Cricetulus griseus: one gene and its partners. The protein of the gene in region 1 interacts with the protein of each later gene in a biochemical or structural test. Links are inferred from orthologs where the notes say so. Each region holds a gene or a part of one and is shown in the gene's direction. Other genes may lie near its edges.

Region 1 (3,751 bases):
TCTAAGGGACTTCTGCCCTTTAGCCTCAAGTATTTTTGATAGGTTTTTTGGGTTTTGTTGTTGTTTTTATAAAGTTGTTTGTGATTTTTAAAGATAAGTGTAAACAAGGCATAGACACACTTAAGAACATTTCTCCCTTTAAGAATTCAGGTTCACTTGCCCTTTTGCACTCACTTGTTTTATTGTTAAGCTGTGTGACAGCTCAGCCTGTGTCATACTTGAGTTGCATGCACTCAAAGTTGAATCATTTGTGTTCCCCTTTTCTGAAAACCATGCAGCTTCCTTTATTTGCTGATTGTGGGGCGGGCACTGTTACTAAGCTGGTGAGAAGCTCTGAGAAGCACATTTTAATATTTAGATCAAACAGCGATTGGAATACATTAATGCCCAGTGGGGTAAATGTGTCCTTTGAAAGCAGCTGCTAGGCTTCTCCCTGCTGCTCCAATTAACACATACAGCACACTCAGTCAGCAAGAGGGCTGTACATATGGATGAAACCACTTCGCAGATCACTAGTGTGGCTTACCAAGAGCCCAAAGAGTTAACCAGCCTTCTCTTTGCCCAAACTGTAGCTTTCTAGGAAGTTTCCCAAGTGCCAGCTGTGCTCTGAGCAAAGGAATGTTAATCGAAGTGGGTAGGTTGCTGGTGGGGAAAGCCGGTTGTCCCTAGCTTTGGTTCAGTCCAGTGACTAGCGAGCTTCCCCACCCGCCCTGGTGATGGAGGTGTTGGGTAGTGACATTTTAGTGCCCGGACGCCTCTTGCTTCAGCTGAATGAAATATCTTGAACTTTTGTTTGGTATGGAAGCAAGTTGAAGCCCGCAGCTCCGCTGTTTGTTTTTAATTGGTATTATCTTACTTTTGTTATCTCACTTTCTTTCTCTGCCCCACCCATCCTTTAAAAAAAAATATAGCAGATCTGACAGTTTCTTGGGCTAAATGAGAAGTCTCACCAAGGTACTCCCTTATCGCTGTTATGTTTTCCCCTGCTGCGGCTGAACTCTTGGCTTTGATGGACACAGGGAGCAAGGCTGGAGGGTAATGTGTCCCAGTAGCAGGGCTTCCTGAGGGTCATTCATGCTCCACCGACTTGCAGAGCAGCTGGGCTGTCCGCTCTGCTGCTGGCTGCGCAGCTCTGCCCCGGGAGCCAGTCATGGACCGCTTCCTGGGATTCGTCAAGCAGATTCGGAGGTCTAGAAGAAGAAAGGGGAAAAAGTACCGCCCGGAAGAGGATTACCAGGAGGGCTATGAGGATGTGTATTACTATGCTTCTGAGCATTTTCGAAGTAAGCGCTCTCCTACACCCTCCTCCCCTCCATCCTCCTGGTCCTTCTCACTTGCCGGGGCTGACAGTAAACCTTGCATGCTTCTTTACTCTTGGATGCAAAAGATTTACCAGATGGTGTTGTGTGAAGTGCTAGCTCCATTGTACTTGGTTTGTTGTGAGTATAGCCACCACGTCCGATCTGCTCAGTATTACCAGCCCGGGTCTATACAGAGGTTAATATTGTAGATGTAATTGATTGATTCTGTTATTTGAAGGAGCCGTTCTATCTCGTAGGTGGTTAGAATATGTTCTGTTGTTGTCATTGTTTTTTTCAATAATTTTTTGTGTGTGCCTGTATATTTTAATCCTTTCAAGAAAGAAAAGGTTGGCTTGTTTGAAAGTAGTTGTTTATGTTGGAGTGGATGTTCATGATTAATGCTACAGTTCCGACTTCTGGACAGTTACCTGTGATGAAACATGCTGTTTGTAGGAGGAAGTTGATGTATGTTCATAATTTTGTTATTAAGTTAGGGGTCTCATTTACTGTCAGCTAGCAGCAGCAATACCTGTAGAATTAAAAAAAAATACCCACATGGCGACATTTGTAAATTGACTTTAAAATAGCAGAGAACTAAAATGTTTCTTGTACCTGTCAGTGCTCAGGGTTCCTGGTGAGGCTTAGACAGGACCCAATAGATTTAAAATCCAGGAACTGCCTCAGGGCGAGGAGAGAAAACATCTCCCTGCCAAGAGCACTGAGCTTATGTGCCCAAATGAAGGGGAGGGAGATGAAAGCTATGTGTGATCTACATTTTAAAAATTAAAAATTATTTCTTATCTTCTTGAGCAAGAATCTTTATGAACTTGTACCTGAAGCACAGTTTCTTTTTTCCTTCTGGCCTTTTGAAGTCTAGCTATGAATGTATTCCATTTATACCTTTTGAGCATTGGCTAATAAATAATTTAGATCCAAATTTCTTTGGCACTGAAAGCCATGGGAATTATTTCTACATGACAAAAACCCTGCTGTGATTGATGAAAGCTGAGAGTTGAAAACTCATGTGGTGACAATAACACAATAATGCCAATTATATTTCTTTGGTGTTTGCCTGAACGGTATTGCTATAATGTTTTTACAGAGTGTTCTCTGAGTTTCAGAGATATTTCCAAGTTATAATTCTTTTTTCCTGAATAATCTATTCTAATGTAGTGACAGTCTATGTTTCCTAAATTTAGCTTCCTTGATGTATTCTCAAATTGAACTAACATTTGTGGCGCACATTTAAAAAAAATACTGCCAGCTTGCATGAGGAGTAATTCTGAAATGTAGAGACTGGGGTGGGGGAGTTTAAAGAGCATTGCTTGGACTGCTATTCCTTGAACACTTTCTTGCAATCAATACACACCGAGTCTAATTCACACCCTCTGTGATTTCTGTTGTGATGAATGTGTGTTCAAATTGACTCAAACAAAATCTCTCAAATGCCTACATTCTACTTGTTTTGCTGAGTTTTTTTTTTAATTTAAATAAATTTGCCGATGAAAAAAAAAAGATATGTCAGCAGGGCAAAGTGCTTTCCAAGAATAGACTAAGAAGATGGTATAATGAAGGTGTAATAGTTATTACCATTAAGTTCAGAGAAAAACTCAGAAACCCTGCCTTATCAGAGTCACCAAGGACGTTCTAAGGCTACGACACTAACCAGCCTGAGTGTTTGCCTTTCCACATCAAAATTACATCCAGTGATTTTTTTTTTTTTCAGAAGCACCCTTTCTTTATACGATTCAGTTGAAAACTTGTAGACTTAGCTGGCTGGTGGGTCCTGAACTTCAAAATGCTACATTTTAAATATAATGTGTCACAGTGAACTGACATCTGGGGTTTGGCATTTCATTAAATATTAAATAGCGCAAGCTTTTGCAGAAGGCATGTGACATAGCACAGTGACCTCCTGGGGCATCTTTGGTTCCAGTTTCAGGGCCTCCCTGAATTGGACAGAGGAGATTCCACTTGTATTTAACTGCTATAGAAAATCGTACCAGGCAAACCTGACTCTTAAAGCCAATCTTCTCAAATGGGTAGTACGGCTGAATTCAATTACATCTGCTGTGTATCTGTTTAATTAGTCTTTGGTATAACTTGGAATCTATACCCCATGTATCGCATCACATGGGGAGAAACTCCATTTATGTTAAGGCTGAGAGCATCGTAGAATTTATTGATGATAGTCATGTCTTATTTAATGATGCCATTGATTTTTTTTTAAACATCAGTCTTGGTCTCTAGTGTTTTTATTTCCTTTTGTGAAACTTAACTCTGCCATGAAGATTTTCTATCAGTTCATATTGTAAGAAAATGATCATATGATAATGAAAGATAGAGCTAATAAGGGCTTTCCAGAAAATATGCCCTCCCCCCAATTCTTTTCCTCTCTTACATAGTTTTAAGGAGTTCCAATTACTTGGTTTTATTCGAAGTAATGTTTC
Region 2 (3,651 bases), on another chromosome or scaffold:
GACTACAGACTGGAGGAAAAGAGAAAACATTATTATTAACTACTATGGCCAGAGTTATGAAAAAGAGGAGAGTAGTGTCAAGGTCATAGACAGAGGGAGCCCAGTGGATCTGGGGACCAGGTGGGAAGGCCCCTCAGTAAGCTGACATTTCTTATCCCAGTGCAGCTAAAATGGAAGAGAATAATGGGAGGCTGCAATTTTGACTGAAAAAAAAGGGGGGGCAATTGTTTAAAGATTTCTTTTTGAAGGGGTCATGTACAAAGGTTATATTTATCAAAAGTATCTAAACATATTCTGATTTAATGTAAACTAGAGGCAAGCATCTCTATTGAGTATAATTGTTTTATTAGTGATAAAGTATAGGGCCAACTGAGATGAGTTTACACATATGAGACTCAGAGATACAAATCAATCTTTTATCTAAAACAAAATTGAGCTGGATATGGTAGTAACCAAGGATGCTAGTTCAAGGATTTTCAAGTTCTGGGCCACACTGTGCTATGCAGCAAGACCTAGTCTCAAGAATATAATATAAAAATAACAAGAGTTGAGCTGTAGCTCAGTAGTAGAACATGTGTTCACCATGCACAAGGCCCAAGAAGGTCTGAAAAGAATGTCAGATCCCCTAGAATTTGAGTTATAAATGGTTGTGAGCCACCAAATGCATGCTGAGAATCAAACCAGGGCCTCTACAAGAGTAACACATGCTCTTCACCACTAAGCCAACTCTCTAGCACCCCCATTTTAAATTTATTTTTTAAAAATATTTTTAAAACAACAATGAAGAATGACCACAAAGAAAAGCATTATTCAAAGTGACATTTTTACAAATGATATCAGAAGGAAGGCAGGAAAATTTATTCAAGTTGAAAACCTATAAACAGATTATTATTAATTTTATTTTCTGAGAATGAGATGTAGGTCTAACACATGCCAGGCAAGTTCTGTCCCCAGACAACAATTCACAAAGATTAATTCCCACCTTAGGCTCTGTGGTCTCTCTTTAATCTTTCTTTTGCATTCACACTTCCTCACCCCTTGAGAAGCCCAGGATAAAGGTGTCTTTCTGATGAACCTCAATAAGGGGTAATTCTACAGAGTTAGCGATAAGTCCAACTCCATCCATTCAATGTCCAAGTTCTCTGATCTACTAGATGGAATAAAGCACCATCCTTTCTTCACATCAGGGACAAGCAGATCACACAAACTGCCTGAGAACAGAGCCTGTGCTTGTACAACTGGGACTTCGTAGCTCCTTACTTAATTCATGAAACATGTAGATCCTCCTACCTGACCTTTTGTGAAGTGCAGAAGTTACCAAGATAAATAAGACAGTGTCCCTGCTTCAGGACATTGTAGTACAGAGGGACAAGAGTCAAATAAAGTCATAATTAAAGTGCAGTGTGAACACTTGGATCATTGGATGGAGTACTGGGAAAAGATAATTAGCTGTACTTGAAAGCCTGGCTCTTAAAGGATGGATAGGAATTATCTCTCAATTACTTCATGTTTGAATGAATGTGTATTCCTATTTGCTAAACAGATTCTTCCAATTTCCTAACAGGATCATATGTTGCCTTTTGAAATTGAAGAAGTAAATAATTCAATTTTCAGTTTTCTGTGCTACTGTTGTGAAATAAAAACATGAGCAAAGTGGTGGATAGAAAGCAGAACCAGCACGGGGTGGAGAGAGGAGGGGCTCCTACACTGTGGGAACCAAGGCTGGGGAGAGCACAATGCAGAGCCATAGTAATGATCCAATGATTCATCCTGTCATTCCTCTTCCTCTGTAGCCATCAGGTTTGGGCGGATGCCACAGGCCGAGAAGGAGAAGCTGTTGGCGGAGATCTCCAGTGATATCGACCAGCTGAACCCAGAGTCTGCTGATCTCCGGGCCCTGGCGAAGCATTTGTATGACTCATACATAAAGTCCTTCCCGCTGACCAAAGCCAAGGCGAGGGCGATCTTGACAGGAAAGACAACAGACAAATCAGTTAGTTCTCTTCTGCTCTCTTCATGGGGGTGGCTGGAGCCAGGGGTACTTTCTTGGACTAAATGATCTGCCTCAGAATGCATGTGTATGCAGAATATAGCTCAGCTGTGAACTGTTAAAATCTTGTGGCAGGCTGGGTCCAAAACACAGGAAATGTATTCAAATAGGATAAGTAAACATTGTTCTGAAAAAAAGAGCAACTCCTCCAAGCTGTAGTTTTAAAAACACACACACAAAAAAACTTTGAGAGTAACACACGAACTCATAGGTGATCACGATGCTCATGAATGAATGTGAAGCCCTCTCATGCCCCTACCCTCTTTCCAGACCCATCTCTTTGCTCAGTGTCAAAATAACTGGTGAGGACACAGTGTCTCAGCAGCCGTGGAGGAGGCTGAGCAGGTGTAGAAGGTGTTGGATCCCACTTTTACCTTTCAAGGGTTCCGGAGTCATTCTTCCCAAGTTGAAAGTTGGCACAGAAGTCCACCCAGGGTATCATGAAACCTGTGTTCTTACAGTACCAAGCTTTATTCCTGGGAAACTGGCGACTCTATCCTTTTATTATATACATGAATCCTACTTTCTAAGGATCTAAGCTGCCTAAGCTACTACAATGGAATATTTTATTATTTTATTTTATTATTATGGGGGTTTGTGCTAAATATTGATTAAACTCAAAGCCTCAAGCATGCACGTACACCTGTGCTAGAGCTGAGATACATGCCCAAGCCTCAAAAGGATCCTTAAGCGACATTGTTTAGAAAATTCATAATAGTTGAAAATCATTGTGGAGTCCAGTTTTGTAGGAAGCAGAAAGCTTCCAACATGAAGCTGAGAATCAACACCAAATTGCATTAAAATGAAAAAATACATGCTGCTTCCCATTCCACTGTCAGCTGGGAGCATGACTGGGTCGAGTCTCTGTCCCTCAGTTTTTACAGACAGGGTCTGGCTTTGATGATGTGGTCTACAGAATGTCTGTAGGCAGTAAGAGCTGCAGATCCCATGCAGAAGACCTGGATCCAGCTCTTGAGAACCTTAGTGAACATGCCCAGGACATCGAGGCAACTAATAGGTAGATTCATGTAACTTGATACACATTTGGATTTTAGAAAAAAAATCATATTTTGTTGACTCTCTCAGGTGATCTCTTTCTCTTTAATTAAATGACTTAGAGCATAGTCATCTAATGGCTGTGAGAAAGAGCCACATGCCACTAAGAACAGTTGAGTTTCAGATACACAAGGGCCCAGATCCTGCAATTCCCAAGTATTTTATACATTCTTTACATTCCAGCCACGGGGCCATCTGAAGGCTGCTATTGTTTACTACCATCTTCATTTAAGGAGAAGGAACTGAAGTGGAGAGGCATGTGCACATAGACATCGGAAGGCTATGATGTAAGCTTTCTGACGTCTAGTTGGGAGCATTCTCGGCATGCTATTCCCAGGACCACACATAGTACAGTGCAGTCTGTCCACTAAGCACAAAAGGCAGCCATAGCAAGTGAAACATGAGTGAAGACCTGTACACAGCTAATCTGACTACAGAAAATAAGCTTACTTCATTCCCATGTTGAAAGTAAAGGAAGACTGCAGCCACATGACTAAAGAGAATGAAGACTTGAAGGCAAATTGCAACAGCTTGCCAAGAGCAGG
Region 3 (3,751 bases), on another chromosome or scaffold:
AGAGAGGCATCCTTCCTTCCCCACAAGCATTGCAAACCCTTAAAATCCCTTGTAAGAGAAGTGGCTCCGTGGTTCAGGGTGTAGGTGGCTGAGACTAAGATGAGCAAGGGCAGCCCAACTTGGATAGACTGTTGGTCAGCATCCCACTCAGCAAACGATTCTATCCAGTATAAACTGAACGGTTAGAAGAGCAGCTCCCCTGACACACTCACTGGCTCCTCCCCAAGAGCAAGCTGGGGAGGCAGGGCTCCGCCCTGGCAGCCGTGGGAAGGCTATGGCCCCCGCTGGTAAAACTGGGCTAATGACAGCGGGGGAACCGGCGGGGCCAGAGGGGGGTGCTAGGGTAATTAGACCTCTGCCTGGCGGTAGTAGATCCCGAGATGAAAGGGGCTATGGCGTCACTGACAGGGTTTTATGTCCATGAATGCAAAGGGGTGTGCGTGTGTGCGCGCGCGCGCGCGCGCGCGCGTGTGTGTGTGTGTGTGTGTGTGTGTGTGTGTGTGTGTGTTTGGTGCACGTGCGTGCGCGTGCGCGCGCAGGGGTCCGGAACTAGCATGGAGACCTCTCCTTTGAGAAAATGAGTCCATCTATTTGCAGCCACTCTGCTCCTTAGGTTGGCCCTGGAACCATTTGGATTTTGATGGTGCAAACATGAGAGGAGATCGTACCTCAGTGAAACTGGGAGCCGAGGGACAGTAGAGAGTCTTGCCCACCCCCCTCCCCAAGCTTAGCACGGGCTGTATATTGTTGGGGAATGGCTGGTGGGCACTGAATAGAAAGAGCCTCTATGGAGAAAAGAAACGTTTGCAGGAGGAGGCAGTGGATCCAGCATTAATGTTAGAAATGAGAAAGGAGGCATGAAAATGAAAAATGAGACTCCAAAACGGTTAGAAAATAAAATGGTTGAAGTTAGGAGGATTTCAGAAGTTACCTGCCCAACACTTGGATTTTAAGCTCTAACTAACCCTGGCAGCTGTAATTTGTTCAAGGTCACACAGAGAGTTGCTTGGAGAGAAGGGACCCGAACTATGAAACAAACCTATCGTTTGGTATCTGGGCTTTCTCCCGGATTTATAAGGTGCAGAGAACTCCCCGAAACTTCCCCTCTACCTCAGGGTGCAAACCAGAAAACCCCCAATTCTCCCAGCGAGTAAAAAGCTATTAAAAAAAAATGACATCTTGCTCAAAATGTGTCACAGAGCCTCCTCGCTCCTCGACGGAGCCTCAGGGGTGAAGTGGGCGAGTCCGAGCCTAGTAGAGGCCAAGGCGAACGAGGGGCTGCGGGGCGACCAGCCGGGGTCCCGGGGCGCGGCGCGGGCCGAGGGGCGGGGGCCGACGGCTGCGAGGCGGCCTGCAGGGAGCAGCCGCGAGCCGGCCGGGCGCGCGGAGCCGGAGCCCCAGCCGGAGCGGGGCGGGGGAGGGAGGAGCCTGAGCGGCCGCCGCCTCTGCCGGAGGAGCGCCGGGGCCGCCACACTCGCCCCCCGCCCCCCGCGCTCACTCGCACTCACACCCCGGCGCTGGAGGCGGGCGGCCCGGGCCCAACCGGCCCCCCATGGACGCCCCCAGCACGGGGCGCTGAGACCCCCGCGTCGTTGCCCAACTCGGTTCAGCGCGCCAAGCCAAGGTAAGGAGGAGGGAGCGAGGGGGCATTAATATGCAAATGCATCGCGATTGATTATGCAAAGCCGCGGGTCTCTGGCCAGCTCGGAGGCGGGCTGGGGGCGGCCAGGGGGTTCCCGTCGCCGACCTGTGCCTTTCCGGGCGCCCGGGTGACCCTGTCACAGCCCGAGAGCGAGCCACTGACGCCCTGGGAAAGGGAGGTGCTGTTAAGTGGTCGGTGGGCCCCGGGGTTCGCTCGCGGAGATGGCGTCTGGGCCTCCCCTTCGAGGGCCCGCCCGGCCTCTGTCCGGCCGGTCTGCTGCGCATTCCCGGGTTGGGCCCCGCTGCCTGCCGAGGCTCCCCCGCCCGCCGCGCCGCGGTTTGTTTACGGTGTGCCAGAAGCCTGTCGTGCCCCCCCAACCCTCCCCCCTCCGCCAAAGAGGGCGAATGGCCTTTGCAAAGCCGCCTCCAGCTACGGAGGGCAATGTGGGTGCGGCAGGGTGGGGGGGGGCCTTGCATGGGCTGGGGGAGAGTGAAGTCCCCCTCCCCTCCCTGCTTTCCCAGTTGAGCATGGCTTTCTGGTTGCAACACTCCTAATTGCAAAAACGCGGCGGGTGGGGTGGGGGGAATGTGAGCCTGTAGTAGTGGGGGTGTACTAGTGGATGGTCCCTGGATGATTAGGAGAATTGCTGGCCTGTGGTGGGGAAGAGAGGAAGCAATGGACCCGTGTTTGTGTGAGTGTGTGTGTGAGTGTGTGTGTGTGTGTGTGTGCTCCCCTGTTTCCCTCCCTTTGCAACGTGTCTCCGGTGGCCCTTTTCTGTCTAGGGCCCTCCCTTGTCCAGTGTGAAAGGAAGGCCTGGGAAGATGTCAAAGGCAATGGAGAGAGCCACCCATTTCGGGGACCAGGGGTGGGGGGGTACACAGAAGGAAAGCCGGGGAGATGGGAGCCTGCCCCTGAATGCTGGCTCTGGACCCAGGAGGGGGAGGGGATGAAGGGGGCCATTGTCCAAGATGAAGGGGGAGGCAAAGGTGACATGCAGACACAGATATGCCCACACAGACAGCCACACGAACACTCAGGGACACCCAGGCAGATTCAAGGACAGGAGCTGCTGGACACACCCACATGGGGACAAGGGAAGAGGCAGACTGCTGCTGCATGGTGGAGCTCAAAGGGGTTGGACACACCCACGGGAGACCAAGAGCAGAGAGACAGCCTGTGCACATACCCACGCACAGGGTCACAGGGAGATGCTGTCACACACAGGGGCAAGGAAGAGTCGCTGTCACTATCACATGCATGCATGCATGCATGCACACACAGCAGTTGCACACAGCCGCACAATTACAAAAGACCCTGTCACTCACAAGCACACACGAGCTCACATGTGCCCAGTCATGCAGTCATCATTGCTTGCCATGACAGTCACTGCCACTCAGTCAAACAAAAAACACAGCTACACATCAACACATGTGTACTCAACTTAGCAACAAGTATTTTCCTGGGTTCATCTGTGGAGCTGAGGTTCTATGGACAACAAAACCTTTGCTACCGAGAAAATCAAATTCATCTGTATAAAAAGACTTTTCTGCATATTGGTGCACAGGATGCATTCCTGATAATATAGTCTGTTACTGTTGGTTGTCATACCACCCAGTTACTAGATGGCAATCTCCTTGAGACATGGGAGAACCTCTAGAAGAACCCTGGATCCCACCCAGAGCCTAGCACAGTGTGTGCTCTGTAAACACTTGTTAATTGATTGACTGTAGGAACTCCAGGCACAGGTGCACTCCTTTACACCTAGTCTCACAGGTGCAGGGGCCATGCACAGGGCTCCCGAGTGCAGTCACAGGTCCCACCTGGCAGTGTCCAGATAACCCTTGCAGATAGACACATTGTAGCTAGGGCAGGAACGCACTTAAATGCACACAGCCACAGACTATTCCCTCTGGCTTCTTTCTATCTTCTAGGCTCAGCCACTGTGTAGCAATGGGCTCTCCCCCCCCCCTTTTAGAGGGACAGAGAAACAAGAGCAAAGTGGGTACAAAGGGGGTTCCAGAGGGCCGAGTCATGGGCCTGCAGCAATGTCCAGTGACTTCTAGCAGCTGGGATTGTCCTGGTTGCTGGGGGAGGGGTGTCTGGGGAAGA

Evidence for each region.
Region 2: the proteins of Grip1 (region 1) and Pparg form a complex in vitro, tested with the Homo sapiens proteins (2 studies listed by BioGRID). The link is inferred for Cricetulus griseus from reciprocal best matches to the Homo sapiens genes GRIP1 and PPARG.
Region 3: the proteins of Grip1 (region 1) and Thra form a complex in vitro, tested with the Homo sapiens proteins (2 studies listed by BioGRID). The link is inferred for Cricetulus griseus from reciprocal best matches to the Homo sapiens genes GRIP1 and THRA.

The regions. Positions count from the first base shown.
Region 1 is NW_023276806.1:137,039,117-137,042,867, reverse strand, and holds the start of Grip1 (glutamate receptor-interacting protein 1), read left to right. Parts: upstream 1-1,150; coding exon 1,151-1,283; intron 1,284-3,751. UniProt on the Homo sapiens protein: May play a role as a localized scaffold for the assembly of a multiprotein signaling complex and as mediator of the trafficking of its binding partners at specific subcellular location in neurons.
Region 2 is NC_048601.1:29,374,672-29,378,322, reverse strand, and holds part of Pparg (peroxisome proliferator-activated receptor gamma), read left to right. Parts: intron 1-1,793; coding exon 1,794-1,993; intron 1,994-3,651. UniProt on the Homo sapiens protein: Nuclear receptor that binds peroxisome proliferators such as hypolipidemic drugs and fatty acids.
Region 3 is NC_048600.1:111,824,897-111,828,647, forward strand, and holds the start of Thra (thyroid hormone receptor alpha), read left to right. Parts: upstream 1-1,458; 5' UTR 1,459-1,624; intron 1,625-3,751.